Arabidopsis thaliana: one gene and its partner. The protein of the gene in region 2 interacts with the protein of the main gene of each other region in a pairwise test. Each region holds a gene or a part of one and is shown on either strand. Other genes may lie near its edges.

The links.
Region 1: the proteins of AT5G60750 (region 2) and YLMG2 interact in a protein complementation assay, tested with the Arabidopsis thaliana proteins (one large-scale study listed by BioGRID).

Annotation. Positions count from the first base shown.
Region 1 is NC_003076.8:7,240,404-7,244,549, reverse strand, and holds YLMG2 (YGGT family protein), read left to right. Parts: upstream 1-1,669; 5' UTR 1,670-1,784; coding exon 1,785-2,090; intron 2,091-2,467; coding exon 2,468-2,670; coding exon of another isoform or gene 2,671-2,674; intron 2,675-2,709; exon of another isoform or gene 2,710-2,953; coding exon 2,954-3,200; 3' UTR 3,201-3,349; downstream 3,350-4,146. Other genes in the region: PAA2 (uncharacterized protein), read right to left, coding at 14-67, 154-251, 624-701, 800-1,421; AT5G21910 (uncharacterized protein), read right to left, coding at 3,423-3,761. UniProt on the Arabidopsis thaliana protein: Not required for the biogenesis and accumulation of native cytochrome b6 in the thylakoid membrane. Not functionally involved in the pathway for covalent binding of the c-type heme to cytochrome b6.
Region 2 is NC_003076.8:24,429,039-24,434,162, forward strand, and holds AT5G60750 (CAAX amino terminal protease family protein), read left to right. Parts: upstream 1-1,791; 5' UTR 1,792-2,033; coding exon 2,034-2,195; intron 2,196-2,529; coding exon 2,530-2,667; intron 2,668-3,047; coding exon 3,048-3,119; intron 3,120-3,489; coding exon 3,490-4,161; 3' UTR 4,162-4,356; downstream 4,357-5,124. Other genes in the region: ABCG28 (ABC transporter family protein), read right to left, coding at 1-35, 121-267, 347-410, 500-775, 857-933, 1,005-1,231.

The DNA of each region.
Region 1 (4,146 bases), about 17 Mb from region 2:
TAGAGAAACTCACCGGTTCATCGAAGAAGGAAGCATCCCACTCCAGTTCTGGATTAACTAGTGAGATCTGCAAAATTCAGAATGCAGAAACTGCAGGTTTTCAGAATAGGATACTCACCAGTCAAATATAAATTACAGGGTACAAAAACTCACCAAACTGATGGAAAATGCAGCCATGGATCCCAATCCAACTAACGAGTTCATATTAGGTGATCTTTTCCCGAAAGCTTTTATGCCATCAAACAGCAATTCTACAATATACATCTATCTGTTTCAGTCATTTGTGTTTCCGAACAGCCTCAAATATCACTACCACCACTTTGTTATGAAAGTCGCAAAGAATAGTAGGAACCATCACTATCACTTAAGAAGTTTGAAAATTCAGAGTTTCTCTCTTATGACAACGACGACTCAATTAAGCTAACCATTATCCATAAGAAGAACTGATTCAACAAAGCTCACCTATATAATCAGAGTAGAACACTAGCACTTATCTAAGTCTAAACAATAGCCTAAGAACGACTACTTTGTCATCTCTCTCTTATGATACTAATTACTAAACTTATTATGCATTAGCTGGTAAGAATCATAGATTCGAACTAAAAGTTTAAACAAAAGCAAACCTCTTCCTGGTCCCAACAAAGCTCCAACGGCCAAACCACCTTTCACGTAAGAGTTGTGTAGCAAATCCCAAATCCCTCCTAGTAACATCAGGTGCAAGAGAAAGTCATAAACTACATCTCTTATCCAACAAATGACATCTAGCATCACAATTTTTTTTGCATTATAATCAATGTACCATGAGCAATGTGAATTCCCAAGGAATGAAGAATATGCGAAGTGTGAGACCCGCAACACAGAGCCACCAATGTCCACGCAAACGCCACACGGTTCCTGCTCTTAACAAGCAAGTCCTCTTTCTTACTTACCATCTCCTTCCACTTCTTCACATTCTCCGCCACTCCCATACCCGAGACTCTCCTCTTAGCCTCAAAACCACTCTCTGTCAATCTCTTAGCTAAACTCTCTGCCGTATCCGCCGTCACCTCAACCTCCGGTTTAAACTTCACAGCCGCGGTTTCAGTCAGCATGTTAACCACAGCAGACGCGACTCGATCATCAGACATCAAAACCGATTTAACTCGGGCGACGCAGCCACCACACATCATCCCACTCACATCGAGGAGAATAGGCGTGTCGCTCGTAATGGATTTCACAGATTCGATTGAAGATTCAGTAGATTCAAATGATTGAGTACTTATCTCGACCGAGTTTGATACTAAAAAAAAAGGTCGCGAACAGTGCCGCCGGATACGAGAACGGCGCAGTCTTGGAAAGCATCGGTTCACGAGGAACTTACTTGGACGAATATGAAGACTCGATGGCGGAGGAAGAGGAAATCGGAGAAGATTGCTCGCCATTTTCTCCGGCGAGACAGACGACGATAGTCACGCGATGTATACAAGTAAGAAACTAGTGGTGGACTGGTGTATGGTTCGTTAAAAAGAGTATCGCTAAACGTTGACACGTCGGATTTGGAATATATCCGAACATTAGCCATTTTTGTGGAATTTTTAAAAAGCCAGGCTGTCACCAGAAAAATCAGAGAGAGACATAAAACGCAAAGTTTTAATAGGTAAGACCTTCTAACTCAGCTAGAGGATTACAGCCCCCGGGACACAGCGATGCCACGTGTCATCTTCCTGAAATATTGTTTTTTGTTTGGAGGTAACTTTATCTTCTCAAGCTTTCTTCTTCTACAACACATCTAGAGCTTTGCAACAATGGAGGCGAGTGCGAATGAACCAGCTATGAAAAGCTTGAAATCCAATCCTTCAGGACCGATACCGAACTTTTTCGTATCGCTCTCTTCGGCATTTACGCAAACACCTCTTGTGCGTTCGAACAAACCCAATTTGCTTCTTCTACCACCAGTTGCAGACTCCGTCAAATTGATTCAAGACTTTCATCAGTCTCTGATTTCTGCTACTGAGAAATTTAAAGGATTCCTCCATTCGCTCGCCTCTAAGAACCCTCTCTTTCAGGAAGCGGTTCGCCTATCTTCCGAATTTCACATTTTGTGCGACGAGGTAACTTCTCTTAGCCTGCTTATGCTAAAGAATGTTATGGATTAAGTTAAGAAGATGATTGTGTGTTTCTCATGAACTTGCCTTGGCTCTGATTGTTACTGTAATGGGTGAATCTTTGTGGTTTCTATTTATACAAAATGGGTCATTCTTTAACAGCCAGTAGATTGTTGTCTAGATCATTTAGCATTTATTGGAAAACCTTCTCACATTGATAACCCTGAGTTATATATGTCCTCAAGTTGGGATCTTTTTTGGTTCTTTTCTTGTAAAGATGAAACTTGGCTTCTGGATAAGTCCGGTTATGATTTTGTGTGCCTTTGCTTCTGGTTTTGGGTTCTTTATGTCTTAAAGATGAAGATCATTTTGTTGCATTGCAGATTCGTTTGAGAAACACTACAAGGGTGAGGTTTGCGATGTCTAATCACGGATTTGCAGCGGTTCTGCCTGGAGATTCAGTTGCAGGATTGGTGGTTGCTAATGGTTTGATCAATTTCCTCAACATATATAACACCATCCTTGTCGTCCGTCTAGTACTCACCTGGTTCCCGAGTGCTCCTCCTGCCATTGTTAACCCCCTCAGGTAAAACGTTGCCTTCAAATGCCACAATGATTTTATATCTTATCCAGGTTTAAAAGTTTTCGATCAATCCATGAAAACAAAATCTAGATCATAGAAGTCCTATTCGTGATTGTTGAAGGTAGTCTTTTTACTTGATTTAGAGGAAATTTATTTTGGATAAACTCTGTCTACTACTTTTTTGTCCAACTCTTAAATGGATTAAAGATTGGTTAAACCCTGATTGATCTGCCCAGGAACCCTAGTTGATTCCTATTTATGTGTATATGCGTTACCATTGTTTCAGCACTTTATGTGATCCATACTTGAACATTTTCCGGGGATTCATACCGCCTCTTGGAGGATTAGATTTGTCTCCCATTTTGGCGTTCCTTGTTCTCAACGCCTTCACCAGCTCGGCTATGGCACTTCCTTGCGAACTCCCGTCAGCTGATGGAGCCGTTTCTCCAGCTTCTAGTGAGACAAAGTGGGTGAGAAGGAGAAGGTTGAGCAGCCACAAAGACCACAGACCGAGCTCAGCTTCTATGACCTGAACCTGTCTAAAATATCTACTCTTTTCTGCGCTTCAAATGTAAAATCTACCTTTCGAGTAATTTTATTACTCTGTATCTTTGGATTTCTGAGTTTTGTATAAATTTTCTTTAGAAAATGAATAAAAGAGTTGTGTTCCTGACATACAGAAATATTGTAAAAATTTTGCAAGAGATGAGCTTTTCTTCTTCATTTGTGGCATCAAAACAACTTTCGCTCAGATTCTAACCAGAGGCTTTGCATATCAAGACGAAAACAAGAAGGATGAGGATGACAAGCAATCCACCAAACGAACCACATAGCCTGTGAATCCAGTAAGGATCAAACCTGGTCAAGCTCGGGTCACTGTACAAGGACAAGGCTATGGCTAAAATCAACAAGAGGAGAAGCAGAGAGAAGGAAAACATAAAGCTGAAGAGTTCTTCTTCCTCTTCTAGATCTTCCTCTGATAATCTGTCGATGTAGAGTGGTGAGAGCACGGCTAGTACCGACAAGCTTATGGCCAAAAGCTTCCTGGAAGTAGTAAACCTCCCCATCATCGGGCTGGATGATCCCGTTTCCATCAGAAAAATGCCAGTACAAAATATATAAAAACAACTGGTAACTTTCTTTACAATCCCCGGTTGGTGTTCATCTGAACTAAAATGGCTTGTTTCTTGGTAAGAATCTGAACACAAGTTGCAGGATTGTTTCAAAAAGCCGTTTAGATGGTATGGTTTAGCTATTTACTCAAAAAGAGAAGAGAGAAAGAAGATTCTTTCGTTTCTGGTGAACAGTTGTGACCACACACTGCTAAAAATATTCCAAGGGATCATATGCTTAAAACTTTTCTTCTCTTTCTATTAGTTCAATCTTTTTACAAAAAGCTGATTCTAAAAGACATTGTAACATTGTTCATATATCACTATCTTTTTTTCTTTACTATGAACCTGTACAACAGCTATAATT
Region 2 (5,124 bases):
TCAGTTCTGCAGTAGAACCTGTCCTGCAGTAATGTCTGGAGAAAACAAAAGATTAGTCTACCTGATTAGAGAAAGATGAATCTTCAAAGAAAGTAATGAAAATCATTCTTAGTTAGTTACCCTTTAGTACAAGGAAGCTTGTCGATAGTGGAAGGACAAAAGGATCCAGCTGAACAGAAAACTTCACTACTACTACCAATATCAGCCCAAATATCAGCTCCACCACAAGTATGATTTGGCTGACCAGAAGGAAGCTGGTAATGATATCTGCAAAAACAATAATCCTGCAGCAATCTTACCATATGTTCAAGACAAACTTAGAAAAATGAGCAAAAACAAGACTTACGGGTCGCATAATCCTGTTGTTCTGTTCAGATTAGCTTCTGGACAATAAGCTCCCAAAGGACAAGCTTCACATCATAGTGAGGAAACAACATTAGAAATGGATCAACAACCGAATCTTTCATCGTTTCTGAATGTTTAAAGGAGGTTAACTTACGGATCATGCAGGTGATACCACGAGGGCAGAAGAAACCTGCGCAACAAGGCGCACATTGCTGAGTTCTAACAGGAACATTCTTGTCGTCTTTAAGGTCAACTTTCACATCTTTAGCAGTACGACAAGCCCATCCAGGCTCACATCCAGACATCCATGAAGATAGATTGCAGTTCTTGTTCGGTTTCAAGTAATTAGTAGCTCTCTTTGCACCTCCTAATAATCCATTGAAGTATATTCTCACTTCTGCAGCCGTACATATCCTCTGCATCATGTCACCTATTCTCAAACCAAAAACATCAGCAAAATTAAAATATTATTTCGGCTTCTGTCAATGAAACAGAGGATGTATAAATATACCTTTTGTGGTTTTACCACATGCGTTTAAGAAATCTGGCTTTGTAGAGAAATTAAAGGCTTCGTTATAATCTTCTTTTCTGAAACAAAGACAATAACATAAACATCTTCAATGCTATAGGATAAAGGTTAATGCCATTTTGAAACTAACACATTGGTAATGCAGAATCCGAGCTCTCTTTTGATGTCATCCTCAAAAACTTCGGTGAGATTCGATATTTTGTCGAAAACGAATTGGTTATAGAGACGATTAGCCGCGGGATTATCCAAGCTTCTATCTTCTTGACAAATCACTCTTTCTTGCTGAAGAATCAACACGATAAACACGAAGAACAATGGAACAAAATTCCCTGGAAAATATGAATTTCTCCTTCCCATCCCTGAAAATTTTCCAAGAAAACAACGTTGCAAAGAATTGTCTTGAGATCAGGATGGATCAAGGAGACATTAGACAATTGAAGGAGACAGAAAGAGAGAATTAGGGTTTGTTTGTTTTTTCTTTTTTTCTTTTTCTTTTTGGGGAGAGAGAGATTGTTGTGTATCTTGAGAGTCAAGAAATGGATGAGAGGAAGGCATGGCGATATATGAGGAGGAAAGAGACGAAAACAGATTTTAATTTGACCGTTTGACTTTCTCTAACTCGTGTCATGGTAATAGATTCTTCACCAAGGAATCATACTATGTAATTTACAGTTAAGGCTCTGTATTTTGATAATGTTTCTACTGTGACCTCTATAGTTTTGACATTTTTGGTGCAATATGTCAAATAGAAAAGATTTGTTTTTCTGAAAAATATAAAAATAAATTTACCAATGTGTTCTGAAGGCAATTCAGCTATAAACTATAAAAGGATAATGAACAAATTGGTTTATTCATCAATAAATTGGTTTATTTTGGTTTAAACATCGGTTTTGTTCGATGGTCCGGTTAAGACGGATTGTTAATTATTGTCGTTGAAAATTCAACAACTTTTTTTTGGTGAGAAAAACTGAAAGACACAAAATCAGTCACGAAAACCCCCAAATCCACAGATTAATTAGGGTTTTCGATTTCTCTGATGAAACTGAGAAGAATCTCTCATTAGGGTTCTTCATTCTTCAGAGGGATTTCTCATATCTCTCTCATTGAGCTTGCTAAAGCTGAAATCTGAGTTTGAAATTGGAATTCAGATTCCCATCCCATGTTGACCTCTTCTTGCTCTTCTTCGTCTCTCCTCTGCCATCGCCCAGCTCTCTCTAGTTCGCGTTCCAAGTTTAGGGTTCCTTGTCGAACTGTTTTCTCTCCTGCTCTTACCAAGATTTCCCCTTTAACTGCTTCTTCACCTTCTAAGTCCGCCAAGCATGTACGCTTCTTTCTTCTTTTCTCTGTTTATATTCAAAAGTATGAAACTTTGAATTGAAAAAGAGACTTTGGTGTTTGAATTGTGTTGAAATTGAGGAATCTTGGATTCGAATAGCACTGTGGATTCAGTTTATTTACGAAAGAGAGTGCTTTTTGATAAGGATTTGCTTGGATTACTAGTAGTTTTAGAAATTTGTGGTTTCTTGAGGTTTTAGTAATCTTGTGACTTCTTTATTGTAAGAATTCAATATTTGTATTGATGCAGTGTCAAATGGTTAATGGAAGAATCGGTAGTTTGTCTCCAATGTATTAAACTTTGGGGCTATTTTCTGCAGAAATGGAAGATTTTGTGTTTTAGAAATGAAGATTCTGCTCCCGAGAATCCGGAGCATTTTGTGCCTGAGGAATTAGTTAAGCCAGATCAAGATTCTCCATGTACAGATAAAACAGATTGGAAGGCAACTTTTCAAAAGGTAAAGATCTATGGACGTTACTGGATACTTGTACAGTTGAAGAAGAACTACCTTCTGTCTCTGTTTTAGTCTGACAAACCGGTTTTGATATTAGGGTCTAGACTCTAGAGGTTAGGACTGCAGCAGAATCTTATATTTGTCAATAAACTGTTATGTATATATCCATTATCCACTCTTTGTTTTTTTTTGTTTACTAGTGAAAAATAAGAATTTGAGGTTTCTTTTGATCTGGAAATGTGCCATACAAATTGATGAGGCTTTCTATTTACTAAATGTGATGGCAAAAATGCAAATAAGGAAACTCTCACAAAGGCTTATCGATCTTGTGTTCAACCTATTATTATTGGGTCTAAAAAGCACTTTGTTTCGTTGGTTTTCAGGCTGCAGATGCAGTTTTGAAGGCCATTGGGACTCGTTGGAAGGTACCATGGACTGTCGAGACCATTGTGCAGGTACCTACATCTTAATGTTACTTAACCTCTTTTGTATTACCGTATCATATTCATAACTTTTACACAAGAACATTATTGAAACCTATATAGAAATTTTACGGGATTATCTGATAAGAGTGTATTATGGATATTGAGTCTGTGTAAGACGTAGTTTTTGAATGTATAGACATTTAAACGTGGGCTAATATCCTTGACTTAGTAACTAGGGACTACAAGATAACATCAAGCTAATAGTATTATAGATGCTTTGGTTCATACAAAAGATGCAAAACAAACAGTAATGAGAAATGAGTTATATACCAAAGCTTTCAGTTATTTCCTTGGTTAATCCTGCGATAATCTGCCATGCCCCTAACATACACTTTTTCAGGTAATGCTTCTGTGGGTAGCCGCTTTCTGGTTCATTGGTTCATGGATGATCCCATTCATGGCTCATATATCAGGTTTCCACAAAGAATCCCTAACATTTAGAGGCCAAGCTTTGTTCAGTCTGATAACCGATGTAACAGAAGGCCTAGCCGGGATTGCTATCCTCCACCGTTGCCTCTCCATGTTCCGTCCACTTGCAAGTGATTGGTTCCGCTTTACCCTTAAAGGAAACTGGCAACTAGATGTTATCATAGGCTGTTTCATGTTCCCTTTCGTTAACCGGCTCTCCCAATTAAACCTAAACCTCTTGCCACTCCCACCAACCTCAAGTCCAGTCTCACTCTCAAGTGTCGAGCAGTCTATAATGGCTAGAGACCCTGTGGCAATGGCACTGTATGCAGTTGTAGTATCAATTTGTGCACCGGTTTGGGAAGAGATAGTGTTCAGAGGGTTCTTGTTACCGTCTCTAACTAGGTACATGCCAGTTTGGTGTGCGATTCTTGTGAGTTCGATTGCATTTGCTTTGGCACATTTCAATGTGCAGAGGATGTTACCATTGGTGTTCCTTGGAGTGGTATTGGGTTTGATATTCGCAAGGTCAAGGAACTTGTTACCTTCAATGCTGTTGCATAGCTTGTGGAACGGCTTTGTATTCATGGAATTGATGCGATGATGACTATCTTTTGTAGGTGTCTTGTTTCTTATTCTTCTTGTAATTGATTCAAAGTATGATGTTAGCTTTTATTTTTTTATAATAAATGGACAGTTCAATTGTACAAAGATAAAACCAAAAAAGGTCAAAAAGAAATTCTAATTTTACAACTTCAGAAAGTTGAATATGATTGGTCCAAAAATAAAATAAAGCCGGTTATACTTTGATTCGTCTTTTCAAAATTCTTTTTCAAGCTTTTTCTATCGATTGGACTAAGCTTATATCTTGAATTCTTGATGGATATGGAGGAAATGATACGAAACGACATCAACACACACATGTATAAACAAGAAGTGCATGTCAATAAAGTTATATGACTTTCTCAATTAAGGTGGTAATATGAATTATCCGGCCCTTGAGCTCAATTAAGGCCAACAAATTCTTCTTCGACCTCTAATTCAGTTTGCTAATACTGACAAACTCAAATCCATATCACTGTTAACTTTTTACTAAGATTTTTCCACTTATCGTTAAAGGTTGAGATATTTAAATATCTTTCTTCCTCTTTCCTACAGATAAATTCGATTAGTATTTATATAAATATATCAGGTTACACAATACACATGTTCAGGAGCTTATATTATTCTTTATACAGCCTTTTAATCCTTTTGTTAACAACTTTTTGTTTCGTAGTGAAAGATTTAAATAACTTGGTCTTCCCAATTGTTCCGAGTCTATATATTAAGTTTTGGTTAACCTTTAAGTACACTATAGAAATCACTTTTGGCTGCTATTTATTTGCATATTTCTTCTATCCAATAAGTAAACATATTTTAAAAATCTAGAGAGACTCGAGCCTCGAACATCGATTTCCTCAGGATCACCGGGAATGTCTAATTCTGTTAGCCGAAGTCATCGCCGTCAAATCAGACATATTAATGGTCAACATATATTACTTGGTCAAACCTTCCATTCATGTGTAAT